3 linked regions of the Sus scrofa genome follow. The protein of the gene in region 1 interacts with the protein of each later gene in a biochemical or structural test. Links are inferred from orthologs where the notes say so. Each region holds a gene or a part of one and is shown in the gene's direction. Other genes may lie near its edges. The genes, in order: DNM2, SH3GL2 and SNX9.

Region 1 (5,730 bases):
TGTCAGTAAACACAGCAGTGATAGTAAGTGTGATCTAGCAGGCACTTAGACTGAGCCTGGCACTGTTCTCGGTGGTTGTCAAGTGTATTTAATTCATTTTACAGATGAGGAAACTGAGGTTCAGAAAAATTGAGTCACTTGGTCATTACTACCCAGCAAATAAATAGACCTAGGATCTAGTCCAGATATGGCCAGTTACAGAGCTCTTAGAAGGTAAGGTTATTTATTTATTTATTGCAATTTTTTTTTTTTTTTTTTTTTTTTTTTTTTTTGGCTGTACCCACAGCATGCGGAATTTCCTGGGCCAGAGATCTAACTCAAGTTGCAGCAGTAACCCAAGCCACAGCAGTGACAATACTGAGTCCGTAACAACTAGGCCATCAGGGAACTTCTGAAGATAAGGTTTAAGTAAAAAAAAGTAGCACATTTATAGCATCTACAATTTAAATATCATAAAGAATTCAACTACATTTATCAGTTTGTGTATTCTTCCAGAAATTTTCCACCTGTACATTATTTTCGTGAATGTTGCCATCCTTTACATGCAGTTCTGTACCTTGCTTTTCTTCCTTTTCTCAGTGTAGCTCAAATTGTTTATATGTCACTACATGAAAACTTCCTCAATCCTTTTTTTATAGCTGCTACATAGTATTTATTTCATGAGCTCCATGGATGGGCAGTTAGGATGTTTCCAGGTTTCTGCCATCATAGTCAAGGCTGCAGTGCCAATCATTTTGGGCCATCTTTTTGCCTGTCTCTGAGACCTGGGTCTTGGGTCAGGGAGCAGGCCTGTAACTTTGGCCACTCTGCCATCCTCTTACTCATTTTTTCTTCTTTCCCCTGTTACTGCCCTGCCCCCTCAGCCCACTTCCCCACCTCCTTTGCTCCTGGCTCCTTATTGGGCTGCCTCTGGCCTATCTTTGTCCAGAGGAATCAGATCACTTCTGTTAAAGTCAGTCCATCTATTCCCGGCTTCCTTTTTTTTTTGGCTGCACCGTCAGCACATGGAAATTCTCGGGCCAGGGATCGAATCCCAGCGACAGCGTCATAGTTGCCACAGCGTCAGAATTTAAACCCACTGCGCCGGCTGAGGGACCGAACCCTCGCTGCCACAGAGACAAAGCCAGATCCTTAACCCGCTGTATCACAGCCGGAACTCCCCCGCCTCTTCCAAGTGGTCAAGAGTCCCAGTTCCCAGAATCCCCAGCGTTGCCTGCAAAATAATAGGGGAGAACTTTCTGGGGAGAAGTTCCGTTGAGTTTCATTGAGTACTCAAAAAGATCCAAGATGTGCTAAAGTTGAAGAATCAGAGGAACGACGTTGGAGCGTCAGCTGCATCAACACAGGCGTCATCAGACGGTATTCCTACGGGAGGACACAGCATTCGCCAGGGTCTGGAGGCGTGGGAGCTAGCGAGGCCGAGCTAGCCTGCTTCTCCCTAGGAACCACTAATCGCCTGATTCTCACCTTCAAAGTGCACTGGGTCCCCGCGCAAGGAGCTGATTTGTGAGCTCACGGCCAAGACGCATTCTGGGACTTGTAGTTTTTTTTAAGAGCCGAGGAACTCAGGCGTGACCATCACCACTGGGTCCACAAGGTGGCGCACGTTGGCGAGTACTTTGGGTCTACTCTTTGCTTCAGAAGACTAGCCGACCTACGACAATCACAAGTAAGCGCTTGTGATTCTTTGATGGACAGATACATCGTCCAATTAGCGTCAAGATTCGAGGTTAAATCCCACCCTCTTGATTTGTTGGCTGACGGAACGGAGTGATATTTATATAAACCAATGGGAAATTTTTAGGGAACTAGGTAGAGTCGAGTGACAGATCTGTGTTTAAGAATCGATCCTTAATATCACTGGCCAATTTTGTTGACTGGCCGGTCTCCCTGCCAATAAAACTGGCGGATGGGCCTGCCATCCGGGAACTCCCCCAATGGGCGGGGCTAACATGCCTTTTTCCGAAACACCGCCTCCCGGCCTGAACAACTCGCTTCACGCTGCTATTGGCTGTTCTACAATAGCGACAGTTCTCGCGTCCAATGAGACTGAGAGAAAGTCCCCGGGGGGGAAGGTTCATTCAGCTGTAGGTCCGTGCCTCCCTTTCACTGGCTTGGGTGCACGAGCGACAGCGCGGCTGACCAACCGGGGGTGGGGCGAGGGCTTTGGGCGCAGCCCCAGGGCCCCGGGCGGGAGGTCGCTTGGGTCGGGTGTCGCCTGAGAACCGGATGAGGCGGCGACCGTGAGGCCGAGCCGGGAGCGGGCGTCGCGCCGAGGCCCGGGCGGACGGGGAGCAACGGCCGTGGACGCCGCGGGGCCGCGTCGTTGAAGGCAGGGGCGGGTGGGGAGCGCGGGGCGCTCGGGCCGGGGCCACCGGCGCCATGGGCAACCGCGGGATGGAAGAACTGATCCCGCTGGTCAACAAGCTGCAGGATGCCTTCAGCTCCATCGGCCAGAGCTGCCACCTGGACCTGCCGCAGATTGCCGTGGTGGGCGGCCAGAGCGCCGGCAAGAGCTCAGTGCTCGAGAACTTCGTGGGCCGGTGAGCGAGCGTGGCGGCGACGGCGGGCGGGCGGCGGCCTAGGGCGCGGAGGGCGGACCGGGAATGGCGCGCCCTGCGCCGCCGGCGTAACTGCGGCGCTTGCGTGCCCGCGACGGGGACGGGGACAGGGAGGCGGGCCCTGTGGGACGCCCTGGGCGGAGGGCTCCTTGCAGGAGGTGGGGAGCCGGCCCAGGCTAAAGGGGTATCTCATGGGCGAGGGCCAGAAGGTGCGGTGGATTTCTGCCGATTCTCTGGTCCTCAGCTATAGTGGGTGAATTCTACCATATGGTTGCCTGTGTGTCAGGGGCAGGTTCCCCTTCCCTGTCTGTCCGAAACCTGTCACTTAGATATCCATTGGGCCGACCCCTGCGGTCTGACTGGCTGTTCATTTATCTGGAGCAGTTCCTGCCGTCTCGTTGGCTGTCTCTCTGTCCTGGATAGGCTTCTGCCACCACCACCATTTGGCTGTCCATCTGTCCAGTACCGCAGAGCAGCCCCCTGCTGCCTGGCCAGCTATCTAGGATGACCTGTCCTGTCCGGCTGCCCATCCGTGCACTTCACAGACTTTAACACTTATCTCTTCCTCTCTTGGGTTACCTCCAGCTGGCCTCTGCTGTCTGACTGGCTGGCTGACCCTTGGGGACCCTGTTGCCTGGCTCTCCTGGGCTGACTCTAAAGCTTAGTGCCTGGTGAACGCTGGCTCCTCTTTTCCAAGTGGAACCTTTGTCTGTCTGTCCTACTATCTGACCTTCTCCTAATCTGCCTGTTTGTGCCATAGCGGACTGACTGTCTGACCCCACCACTGTGGCAGGGGGTGGTGGAGGATGCAGAGAGAAAGGGAGCTGAAGGGTGAGACTGGAACTCCTCTCAATTGGAAGTAGAACCCTCGGGGGAATCTTTCTCCAGGACTCTTTCCTGGTCCATGTCAGGGTACCTCCATGGCCCTAGAACATAGGGGCCAGCCCCCCAAGCTAAAGCCTGCAAATGTGGGGGGCCCTTCCTGGATCCTGGGAAGGAACTTCTTACCTGATCAGGCAAGATCTGGAATACAGCCTTTTTTGGATAGTTCTGAGAAGTCTCAGTTTGGCTCTCTGTCCTGTGGACATATTCCATTCTGTGGGCTGTTTCCTAGGATTCAGGAAGCTAATGGATGTAATTAGGTTCTTCTCTCTCCCTTCCCCCACTTCTTGCCCTTCTGCCTCCCAGATGGGTGGCCACTTCTCTATTTGTCTAGGAAGGACTCCATTTGTGACTGGGGCTGCCAAATGATAATATCATAGTCATTATTATCGTGATTATTGTTGTTATCAGTGTTAAGAGGTAACGTTCATCCTACAGGCCCCAAGCCAAGTTCTTTCTTGTTCCACTCAGAAGACAGCCTGTTTACCCAAGACCACCAGGCAGGAGGAGCTCAGTGGAGCCCAGCTTTGCTCCTGCCTTCCCAGAGGCCTGGGGGTTTTGCTCCCAGCAGCGTGAATTTCCTCCTTTGCTGCTTTGTCTCTGGCGAACTGCCTTCTGTCTACTGTGGCGGAAAGGCGTGGACTTGGGATCAACCAGGCCTGGGCTGAGCCTTGGGCTGGGCTATGGGCCCCCTGCTTGGCCATCTTCCTGCCTGGCCTGCCCAGGCTTCCAGTGGGCATCCGCAAAGCTCTGTCCATTTCATTTGCCTTGTGATCTTGCACAGATTGTTTTACCTCTCTGAGCCTCAGCTGCCCCTCCTAAAAATGGGGTGATGGACCCTCAACAAGACAGTTGCGAGGATGCAGTTACATGATGTGTTGAAAGTGCTTACTTAGCATGGTGCCTGGCACACAGTAGGTCTGTATGAATGGAGTTATTATTCACCAGGCTGATTCCTTTCATATTGACAACAAAAGCTAGTTAGAATTAAAGTGCTCTAGGAGCTCCCACTCTGACGCAGTGGAATTGGTGGCATCTTAGGAGCAATGGGACAAGGGTTCAATCCCCCACCTGGCACAGTGTGTTAAAGGCTCTGGCATAGCTGCAGCTGCAGCTTAGGTCTCCACTGCAGCTCGGATCTAATCCCTGGCCTGGGAGCTCCATATGCTGCGGGGCAGCCAAAATGAAAAAAAAAAAAAAAGAAAGTGCTCTAAAGTTAGACACTGGGGAGTTCCTGTTGTGGCGCAGCGGAAACGAATCCGACTAGTAACCATGAGATTGTGGGTTTGATCCCTGGCCTCACTCACTGGGTTAAGGATCTGGTGCGTTGCCATGAGCTGTGGTGTAGGTCACAGACACGACTCGGATCCTGTGTTGCTGTGGCTGTGGTGTAGGCCAGCAGCTGTAACTCTGACTCCACTCATAGCCTGGAAACCTCCATATGCCATAGGTGCGGCCCTTAAAGAAAAAATTAATAAGTTACACACTGGACTTCATTTGAACATTCTGAGGCTGGCACTGCTGTGATCCCATTGTCCAGAGGGGAAAACTGAGGCTTAGAGAACCGAGCATTCAGTGACGGATTGAGCGACTCCAGGTCTCTCTCTCCCACCCCCCGCTCCAACCCTCTGCTGTACCTTTCCCTCCCACCCACCCTGGCAACTGGTGACTGCCAACTGCTGCTGAGCTGGCTCCTGTGGCAACCTCCTTCCAGAGCCTGCAGCGTGACATTGGCATTAACCAGGCATTAATTCAGGGCTCGAGGACCAAAACTGTAAAAAGCCCTCTCTTTGGGTGTGGAGTGCTCAAACGGAGCCAACTTCTTTTTATTTCTGGAGTGTGGAGAAGCCTTCTCAGCTCCAAAGCCCTGCCATAAGGGGGATGGCAGGCAGGACTCGCTTTAAATCCCACTGCCTGCTTCTTTCTCTGACTTTGGCTGAACTGTGCTGTGGGGCTCAGGGACTGGTTCCTCTCTTCTACCCCAAGGACCCACACAGAGGCTCTCCTGGCAGTTTTCAAGGAACAAAAGGGAGAGCATGTTGGCTCTGTGCCTGGGGGCAGATCTGGCTGCTCCATTTCCCTGCTTCCTCCTTGTGGGTTTTTCTAAGAACATGGTCCGAGTGAGAATTACCCAGTTAGCTCAGTCCTGTACTGGGGGTTGCAGGTCGGTGGTCCTGGGGAGCAAAACCTGCTTGTTAGGTCTTTTGTTTCTTCAGCATGGAGATAATTTTTTTTTTTAATGGCCATACCCACGGCATATGGAAGTTCCCAGGCTAGAGGTCAGATT
Region 2 (4,463 bases), on another chromosome or scaffold:
ATGCCAAAGCCTCTAAAAAGGCTTCAAACCATGCCCTTCAAAGTACTAAAGAAATTTTATATGTCTTTGTGACAGTTGTTAAGCATGGAGGCCACTTTTCTTGTTTTCCCCTAAAATGTTTAGAGTCACTGTTACTCTTCAATCACCATACCCTAAACTCTCCCCACCCTTGCAGATCTGCCCTACACTTTGCTTAATGACCACCTAAAAGGGTGGGAAGTACTCAGGGGTGAGCAGAATACTTTGCCTGCCTGTACCTTTCCACCTTTCTTCCTTCTTCCTTGGCTTCTTTCCTTTCCCTCTGTGCTGTTCTCAGAACACACAGTATTTCCTCCTCTCCTCCCCCCACACCTTCTCAAGCTCTGCATGGAATAACTTTCTTCTGGAAACAACTGTTTATCTAGAAATGACTTCTGATGATCTTTCACCTCTGTCCTTAAGCCTTCTCCAGCCTCCCCTGGGACAGGTAGCTCCTCCCCATCTCACTGCCAGCTCCATCCCTGTGTTCCTGCAGCATTTGGTACAAATCTCCATGGCAGCACTTATTACAATTCACGGTAATCAGTTGTTTGTGTTCTGTCTCCACTCCAGACCATAAGCTGTTTGAGGGTAAGAATTGTGTCTTACTCACCTTTTGTGTTCCTGGTGCCTAGCGCAGTGCAGACTTGCAGAGTGAGCTCGGAATTAATGAGGGAGAACCTGAGAGGAAGGATGAAAGCAATGAGGGTATAACTGCAGAGAGCGTGACCCCAGCGCCCAAGTGGAGACAGACACAGATAAGAAAACTGAGGGTCCTTTTCAGATTTCACCTGCTCCACAGTGGTAGATTGGTAGCTAGTCAAAGCATTTTCTCGATTTAATTGCTTTTCTTTTTGCTTCTTAATTGACTACACATCCCACCTCCCACCTCCTACCTTTTCTTTTTCTTTCTTTCTTTCTTTCTTTCTTTCTTTCTTTCTTTCTTTCTTTCTTTCTTTCTTTCTTTCTTTCTTTCTTTCTTCCTTTCTTTCTTCCTTCCTTCCTTCCTTCCTTCCTTCCTTCCTTCCTTTCTTCCTTTCTTCCTTTCTTCCTTTCTTTCTTCCTTTCTTTCTTCCTTTCTTTCTTCCTTTCTTTCTTCCTTTCTTTCTTCCTTTCTTTCTTTCTTTCTTTCTCTGTCTGTCTGTCTGTCTGTCTTTGTAAAGGCCACACCTGCAGCATATGGAGGTTTGCAGGTTAGGGGTTGAATCAAACTACAGCTGCCAGCCACAGTCACAGACACAGCCACGCCAGATCTGAGACATGTGCTTGACCTACAGCACAGCTCACAGCAACGCCGGATCCTTAACCCACTAAGTAGGGCTAGGGATTGACCCTTCATCCTCATGTCAGATTCGTTTCCAACAAGCCACGACAGGAACTCCCCATCTTTTCTCTTTAATGCAGAATAAGACAAGCTTCATCTCAGCCTCGAAGGGAGTATCAGCCCAAACCTCGAATGAGCCTGGAGTTTCCAACTGGGGACAGCACTCAGCCCAATGGGGGCCTCTCCCACACAGGCACCCCCAAACCTGCAGGTAAGTATCGGATCCCTGGTACATGGCCTTGGCCACGCCCCATGAACACTCTTCCAGAAATTCTAGGAGCAATCCCATCTGGCTACATAAGAATTATGCAGGAATATATTTCTTACAGGATGGTTTTGTCAGGTAGAAACTCTCTTAAAGGAGTTCCTTCTTGTCTCATTCATTCTCTTTCCCTCCTTTACTCTCTCTCTCCTCTGTAAAGCCTTCATTGTACGTCCCTTTTACCCTCAGTCTCCATCGGCGCACACTTACCTGCTTTAACACATTTGATACTGACCCTCTTTTGTGGTCTTTAAATCACTGTAATATGTCAGTTGAGTTGTAGGGATGTCATCTTCTTTCCTGTCTGTCCCTTTCTGTGATTCCAGCATGCGTGGGGGTGAGTGCCCCAAGGCAGTGCATGCCCTTGTACACTCACACATACCCCACAGATGGCAGCTCCAGAAACCTGCTGCGTTGGGTTTCTTGAGGCCCACGAACATGAGGGTGAATATATTTGCAGATGAATATATTTTGAATCCCACTATCTGCTGGATTTTCTTCCCCTCCCCACCCTCCACCAGTTCATTGTGCTATGGTAACAGGTAGGTGCATTAAAAGCTGAAAATTATTTTCTTTCAGAGATGTAGATGTATAACTGATTGTATTATTCTTTTACTTGGTCCCACTGCTTTCTACCCCCTGCATACAGAACAGATAAAAGCCTGTGCTTGAGGTATATTCATCCTTAAGAATCTGCTTGGTCGAAGAGTGGGAACTGCCTTATCCTGGATATGGATGTTAAGGATGGGAAGCTCTCTCCTGTTTCCCTGTATCCCCAGTGCTGGATGTTCTACAGAAGGAAATGTTTTATGAGATGCTCTCAGGAGACCATGAAGGCAAAAAGGGAGGGTGTGATGACCATTGGCTCTGCTCCTCGGGCTTACCTCTGCTGCTCAGAGCCCTCGTGTGGGGCTTTTGCTGGTTATAAGGACTAGGCACATAATGTAACCTGGCTTCTCCCTGCTCAGAAAGCAAACACATATCTCATTTTTCTTTTGGAGACTTGTTAATTTGCTTTCTCTAAGTTAAAAAAAATCATTATCAGAGTTTCCGTCGTGGCTCAGTGGTTAATGAATCCGACTAGGAACCAGGAGGTTGCGGGTTCGGTCCCTGGCCTTGCTCAGTGGGTTAAAGGATCCGGCGTTGCCGTGAGTTGTGGTGTAGGTCGCAGATGCGGCTCGGATCCTGTGTTGCTGTGGCTCTGGTGTAGGCCGGTGGCTATGGCTCTGATTCGACCCCTAGCCTGGGAACCTCCATATGCCATGGGAACAGCCCTAGAAAAGACAAAAAGACCAAAAAAAAAAAAAAAAAATCATTGTCCCCCTTCAGAGCCATCCAGGTGGCATGGAGCTGTTTCCACTTGCCTGAGTTTATACGCATGTGTGTATGCCTGCTATGGTAATACTTTTGCTCATTTAACAGTTTTCTCTCTCTCTCTCTCTTTTTTTTTTTTTTTTTGTCTCTTTTTTAGGGCCACACCCATGGCATCTGGAGGTTCCCAGGCTAGGGGTTGAATTGGAGCTGTAGCTGCCAGCCTACGCTACAGCCACAGCAATGCAGGATCTGAGCTGCGTCCGAGACCTACGCCACAGCTCATGGCAATGCTGGATCTTTAACTCACTGAGTGAGGCCAGGGATCAAACCCACGTCCTCATGAAAACTAGTTGGATTTGATAACTCTGAGCCACAATGGGAACTCCAACACAGTTCTCTTTTAAGATAGGATTCCATCCTTCATTATTTAATTCAATGTAGAATCTATTATTTTTTATATTCCATAGCTCTGATACATACCTCTTATTTATATAGGTAATGTGATGTGGAGGTGGAAATTGTATCATTTTTTATGTAATCCCATTTAATAGCCACGGTAGTACTGTGAAGTAAGTTCTTTTAGTTCCAATTTTAGAAAAACTGAGAGTGAAGTGCCATGTGCAAGGGTCACGGAGAGTAGCATCTCGAACCCAGTGTTTTATATTGTCTTGTTTTCATCACATTACTGTGGCTCTCCAGAGGCTGGGGATCTTTATTTTTTAAAAGTAAGAAATGCACCATTATTCTGAAGTCCCAAAGCCCTGTCTGTATACTTTACTGTTTCACACGTGCAGAGATTTTAAAGAGGTTAGCATGAAAAGAATTCTGTCCATGCTCCATTATGAATCTAAAGTCCATGAAGACTCCTTAAGTCATTGGGACTCCTATTGCTGAGCACTGTAGGATGGTCAGCCTTGTTGAAATGTGTTGTACCTACCTATCATGAGAATAGATGTGGCCATGTTTTCATACTGGAAATAGAAACAGGAATTCAACAACTTCCGGAGATGTAAGAAAGCTTCTGAAGATGGGGAGAGGGCAAGGTGCCATGCCACAGATACTGGGGACCAGTGGCAAGAGGAAGCTTCAGCAGGAAGAGGAGTGAGGGAGGAACCCAGGGGGACAGTAGGCTGGGCAGGCGCAGCATGCAGCAGATATGTGAGTTAAATTCCCCTGTCTCTCTGTGTTCTCTCCTGCTCTGTTCCTCAGGTGCCCCAATGGATCAGCCCTGCTGCCGAGCTCTGTATGACTTTGAACCTGAAAATGAAGGGGAGTTGGGTTTTAAAGAGGGTGATATCATCACACTCACCAACCAGATTGATGAGAACTGGTATGAGGGGATGCTCCACGGACAGTCAGGCTTCTTCCCCATCAATTATGTGGAGATTCTGGTTGCTCTGCCCCATTAGGATGTTATGGTGGCTGGCTCACCTCTTCTTGACCCAGATAGTTAAGTTTAACCACTGCTTTGGTAATGCTGCTTACAACACATCCCAAGTGCAGGCCGCAGTGGTCCAAGTCATCCAGCCCCACTGAGTATCTTTG
Region 3 (5,147 bases), on another chromosome or scaffold:
TGGATTAAGGTCTGGCGTTGTCACAAGCTGCGATGTAGGTTGCAGATGCAGCTCCAATTCCACTGCTAGCGCGGGAACTTCCATATGCCACATGTGTGGCCCTGAAAAGAAAAAGAAGAGACACATGCAGGGCCGTGTCCTTCAGGTCAGTTTTTAACATAGAAAACAGTTGGTATTTATGTGTTACGTATTCCATTACATACTCAGGGAAGTGTAAGAACCTGCCGGGTTCAGAAAAGTAGTTATTCGAGGGAAGAAAAAAAAGGGAGTTTCTTTGTGACTGGTTTTAAAGTTCCCAGGCAAACATGACACTTTTTTTTTTCTTTTCTGCCTTTTTGCCTTTTCTTTTGAGGGCTGCTCCCACGGCATATGGAGGTTCCCAGGCTAGGGGTCGAATCAGAGCTGTAGCCACCGGTCTTCACCACAGCCATAGCAATGCAGGATCTGAGCCGAGTCTGCAACCTACACCACAGCTGACGGCAACGCCGGATCCTTAACCCGCTGAGCGAGGCCAGGGATCAAACCTGCAACCTCATGGTTTTAGTCGGATTCATTAACCACTGAGCCACGATGAGAACTCCACTTGACACATTTTTAACATCACTAAAATTCGGTTGATGGCTACTTTTTTGCTTTCCTACTTTTGAAAATGTATTATTTAAATTTTAAACTGTTATAGATTTCTATCTATTTTTTCAGCATCCCTGTTCAATTATTATGTGAGTCCTACTGAATTGAGTAATGCTTTCTAGAAGTCACAAACCCTTTCTTCTTTTTTACCCTTGACCACAGGTCAGCAGTGGCAATGACCCCTGGTCAGCCTGGAATCCCTCCAAGTCTGGAAACTGGGATAACACGGATGGCTGGGGAGCCAAGCCAGAGGGGGCTGCAGCTCAGAGAAACACTTCCAACAACTGGGACGCTGCCTTCGGTCATCCCCAGGCCTACCAAGGCCCAGGTGAGGAGGAGGCTCTGCCGTCGGTGGACAGGTTTCATCTCAGGAACCGTTCTCAGCGGCCCGCATTCACTAACAGCAGACTTGTTTGTCTGGATCCAGATGTAGGCATTCTTTTCTTTTTTGCCTTTTGGCCTTTTTTTCTTTTTTGCTTTTTAGGGCCACACCTGTAGCATATGGAAGTTCCCAGGATAGGGGTCAAATTGGAGCTGCAGGCCTGCACCAAGCCTCAGCAAATCGGGATTCAGGCCACATCTGTAACCTCCACCACAGCTCATGGCAATGCTGGATCCTTAACCCCCTGAGCGAGGCCGGGGATCAGACCTGCATCCTCATGGATGCTGGTCAGGCTCTTAACCTGCTGAGCCACAATGGGAATTCCCAGTGGTCTTCAGTTATGAGCTTTAGTCCACTCTCAGTTATCTGTCATGGAGTCACAAATAGAAACGCTTGTGGGCCCAGGTTCATAAAGCAAAGCCACAGAGCCACCCCATGCGGAAGATGGAGGTGGGCAGCCCTGCTCTGGAGCGGATTGACACCATTGCAGAGCTGAGCTGGTGTTTCTGGGCCTCCACAGTTCCAGAGACTGGAATCTCAATTTTTATGTCATCTTCCCACTTTAAAATCTTAGCAGCTAACACACTTGTTTTTAAATCTTGGCTCCAAAAATGTGCACACAGATTGAATATGGTCATCAGCGGCCAGTTTATGACCTCTCACTTGGCTCTTCTGTCTTTTCTTTACCTCTCTGACTCCCAGGTTCTTAACAGAAATTGAGGCAAAAGCAGAATTTCTAAAAGGAGAAACACTTGAGGAATTAGGAAAGGCTGTTTATGTCTGTTCTGGGATTAAATAAAACAAGGAGAGATCCACCCAGTAATTTTAATGATTCCCATATGAGTACATTGTGCCAGGAATTGAATGTGCTGAATGGCGGGGGACTCGCCTGCAGGAGCCGTACGGGCCCAGGTGCTGGTTCCAAGCTCCCAGTCGTGGACAGGAGCTTGGCTGCTGGCCGGCCCAGGAGCTGTGGGTGGAGCAGAAACGGCGAGACTAGACTGCTGACACCTGCTCCTCGAGTAGCTTGGCGTGGCCCGGGCGTCTTGGCTCAGATCCTTCTAATACTTTCTTTCCCCTCCTTTTCTGTTTCGCCATTCGTCTCTCAGCTTCTCTCGATGGCACTCTTTGGGCAGAAATCCAGGGCAGTTTCCTGCCTGATGCTAAGGGGACATCTCAGGGAGACAGAGGCACGGAGCAGTGGAAGAGAAAGGGCGGGGGCAGCGAGGCTGGCAGCGCCTTGCCCGACACAGACTCTTCCCGGAATGCTGGGCCCCTGGCGCCAGCTGGCTGCTGCCCGTCCCTCTCCTCTCTCCCTCCTCCACCAGCTCGCCCTTCTCACCTGCGTTATCATCAGTGTTGAACAGCTGCTTTTCAGAGACCTAGGGTCCCCTTCGGCCCCTCCAGTCTTCTCTGTTTAAAGGGTGTTTGATCTGCCTGACCTATCAGCATGCCAGCCTTTGGAAGCCCTTCCCTGGCCCACTGAGCGTGTTAATAGTTGGCATCTACCTGAAGGTACTGGGACTGGCAACCCACTTTAAGTTGTTTCCAGCTTGTCTTTTGCTCTAAAAAAATCTTCCAGCCTCAAAACTGACCGCAGAGCGTGTACTTGTCAGGTCTTTAGTGTGGTCCTGCCCCCGCCCCTTTTCTCCGAGTTTTCGTACACGGTTAACCCGGTTGACGGTTGTTATCAGAAAAGTGTCATCCCGTTTTTATCTTGTTTTCCTTTGCTGACGATCTTCTTTGCCTCCCGCCAGCCACTGGGGACGATGACGACTGGGACGAAGACTGGGATGAGCCCAAGTCGTCGTCTCCCTACTTCAAGGACGGAGAGTCGGCCGAAGCCGGAGGAGCCCAGCGGGGAAACAGCCGGGCGGGCTCCTCCTCCATGAAGCTGCCGCTTAACAAGTAGGTTTCAGGGCACTGGGGGAACATGAACTCTCTGTAGAAACAGATATAAGATGGGGTTCCTGTCGTGGCGCAGTGGAAACAAATCTGACTAGGAACCATGAGGTTGCGGGTTTGATCCCTGGTCTTGCTCAGCGGGTTAAGGATCCGGCGTTGCCGTGAGCTGTGGTGTAGGTCAGAGACGCGGCTCGGATCCTGAGTTGCTGTGGCTGTGGCGTAGGTCGGCGGCTATGGCTCCAAATCGACCCCTAGGCTGGGAACCTCCATATGCTTCAGGTGCGGCCCTGAAAAAACAAAAAGACCGAAAAAAAAAAAGAAAGAAAGAGACAGATGTAAGATGCAACAAGGAGATCCCATTGTGGCTCAGCAGGCTAAGAACCTGACATCGTGTCCGTGAGGATGCAGGTTTGATCCCTGGCCTCACACAGTGGGTTAAGGGTCCAGTGTTGCCACAAGCTGTGGTGTAGGTCATAGATGTGACTTAGATCTGACGTTGCTGTGGCTGTGGCATAGGCTGCATCTGCAGCTCTAATTCAACCCCTGGCCCAGGAACTTCCATATGCCGCAGGTACAGCCATAAAAAGAAAAGAAAAAAATAAGATGATGATATGAAGAGGCACTTTTCTCTTGTCAGTGGTCTACCAAGTTTTGGGTGTGATTTGATCATGTTTATGTGGCTCTTTGCTTGGAGGTTTGTTTGAAAGTTTTGGGTTTTTTTTTTTCATCTTAAAGTGAAATATTTGTTCCATGTAATGATATGCTGAATATTGGTTTTATCAACTCATTGCTGATGTACAGCAAAGCTAAACATAATGTTAACTTTCTTACAAATGTTTCACTATTCATTGGTCTTGTGCCCCGTGCCAGGCTTTGTGCAAAGCAGTTTGTGCACATTCTCATGCGACCCTCTGTTTCACTCTGGGAGCAGCCGAAGCCCAGAGAGGGAAGTCACTGCCCAGGTTCACACGGGTAGAAGTGATTTCCTCGGGACTCAGGCCAGCCCCTGACCTCCTGAGCGCACACTCACAGCTGCTCTGCCTCATGTGCCTCAGACTTTGTTTTCACTGGGCTTATCCTTAGGTTTGTCCTGTTTTGAGTGGTGCCGTAGAGACGCTGCCTCGCGGAAAGCGTGCGGAAGAGGAGGGCTGTGGACACAGCCCTGTGGGTTCCCCGGTAGAGAGTTCTGGATGAGTCTGTAGTTTACACCCAGTGGAGCTTGAAGGACATAGAGTCTATGACTTCCAGACGATTTATCTTCAAATACTCTTCTTACATTTAAAAAGTTTTCTGGAATTCCCGTCGTGGCGCAGTGGTTAACGAATCCGACTAGGAACCATGAGGTCTCGGGTTCCGTCCCTGCCCTTGCTCAGTGGGTTAATGATCCGGCATTGCCGTGAGCTGTGGTGTAGGTTGCAGACGCGGCTCGGATCCCGAGTTGCTGTGGCTCTGGCGTAGGCCAGTGGCTACAGCTCCGATTCAACCCCTAGCCTGGGAACCTCCATATACCGCGGAAGCGGCCCAAGAGATAGCAACAACAACAACAACAACAACGACAAAAGACAAAAAGACAAAAGACAAAAAAAAAAAAAAAAAAAAAAAGACAAAGATAAAAAGTTTTCTAGCTGTGAGCTGTGGTGCAGGTCGCAGACGCGGCTCAGATCCCACGTTGCTGTGGCTCTGGTGTAGGCCGGCAGCTGCAGCTCCGATTTGACCCCTAGCCTGGCAACCTCCACGGGCCGCGGGTGCAGCCCTCAAAAGACAGAAGACAAAAAAGAAAAAAAAAGCAGTTTTTCTAGGGAAGTTCCCTGGTGGTGTCTTGGTTAGGACTCTGCACTTTAACCACCGTGGCCCAGCTTCAGTCCCTGGTCTGGGAACTGAGATCCCACATCAGGCCACTGTACGCTATGGCCAAAAAAAGAGTTTTTCTGGAGTTCCCGTCATGGCGCAGTGGTTAACGAATCCGACTAGGAACCATGAGGTCGCGGGTTCGGTTCCTGCCCTTGCTCAGTGGGTTAAGGATCCGGCGTTGCCGTGAGCTGTGGTGTAGGTTGCAGACACGGCTCGGATCCCTCGTTGCTGTGGCTCTGGCATAGCCGGTGGCTATGGCTCCAATTGGACCCCTGGCCTGGGAACCTCCATATGCCGTGGGAGCGACCTAAGAAATAGCAAAAAGACCAAAAAAAAAGGAGTTTTTCTCAGTGTTTCAAATTTGTGATTCCAAGCAGAC

Evidence for each region.
Region 2: the proteins of DNM2 (region 1) and SH3GL2 interact in a biophysical measurement, tested with the Homo sapiens proteins (2 studies listed by BioGRID and IntAct, with this or other methods). The link is inferred for Sus scrofa from reciprocal best matches to the Homo sapiens genes DNM2 and SH3GL2.
Region 3: the proteins of DNM2 (region 1) and SNX9 form a complex in vitro, tested with the Homo sapiens proteins (2 studies listed by BioGRID and IntAct, with this or other methods). The link is inferred for Sus scrofa from reciprocal best matches to the Homo sapiens genes DNM2 and SNX9.

Annotation. Positions count from the first base shown.
Region 1 is NC_010444.4:69,471,863-69,477,592, forward strand, and holds the start of DNM2 (dynamin-2), read left to right. Parts: upstream 1-2,149; 5' UTR 2,150-2,382; coding exon 2,383-2,543; intron 2,544-5,730. UniProt on the Homo sapiens protein: Catalyzes the hydrolysis of GTP and utilizes this energy to mediate vesicle scission at plasma membrane during endocytosis and filament remodeling at many actin structures during organization of the actin cytoskeleton.
Region 2 is NC_010443.5:205,082,464-205,086,926, reverse strand, and holds part of SH3GL2 (endophilin-A1), read left to right. Parts: intron 1-1,422; coding exon 1,423-1,553; intron 1,554-4,127; coding exon 4,128-4,327; 3' UTR 4,328-4,463. UniProt on the Homo sapiens protein: Implicated in synaptic vesicle endocytosis. May recruit other proteins to membranes with high curvature. Required for BDNF-dependent dendrite outgrowth.
Region 3 is NC_010443.5:9,165,244-9,170,390, reverse strand, and holds part of SNX9 (sorting nexin-9), read left to right. Parts: intron 1-792; coding exon 793-958; intron 959-2,769; coding exon 2,770-2,920; intron 2,921-5,147. UniProt on the Homo sapiens protein: Involved in endocytosis and intracellular vesicle trafficking, both during interphase and at the end of mitosis. Required for efficient progress through mitosis and cytokinesis. Required for normal formation of the cleavage furrow at the end of mitosis.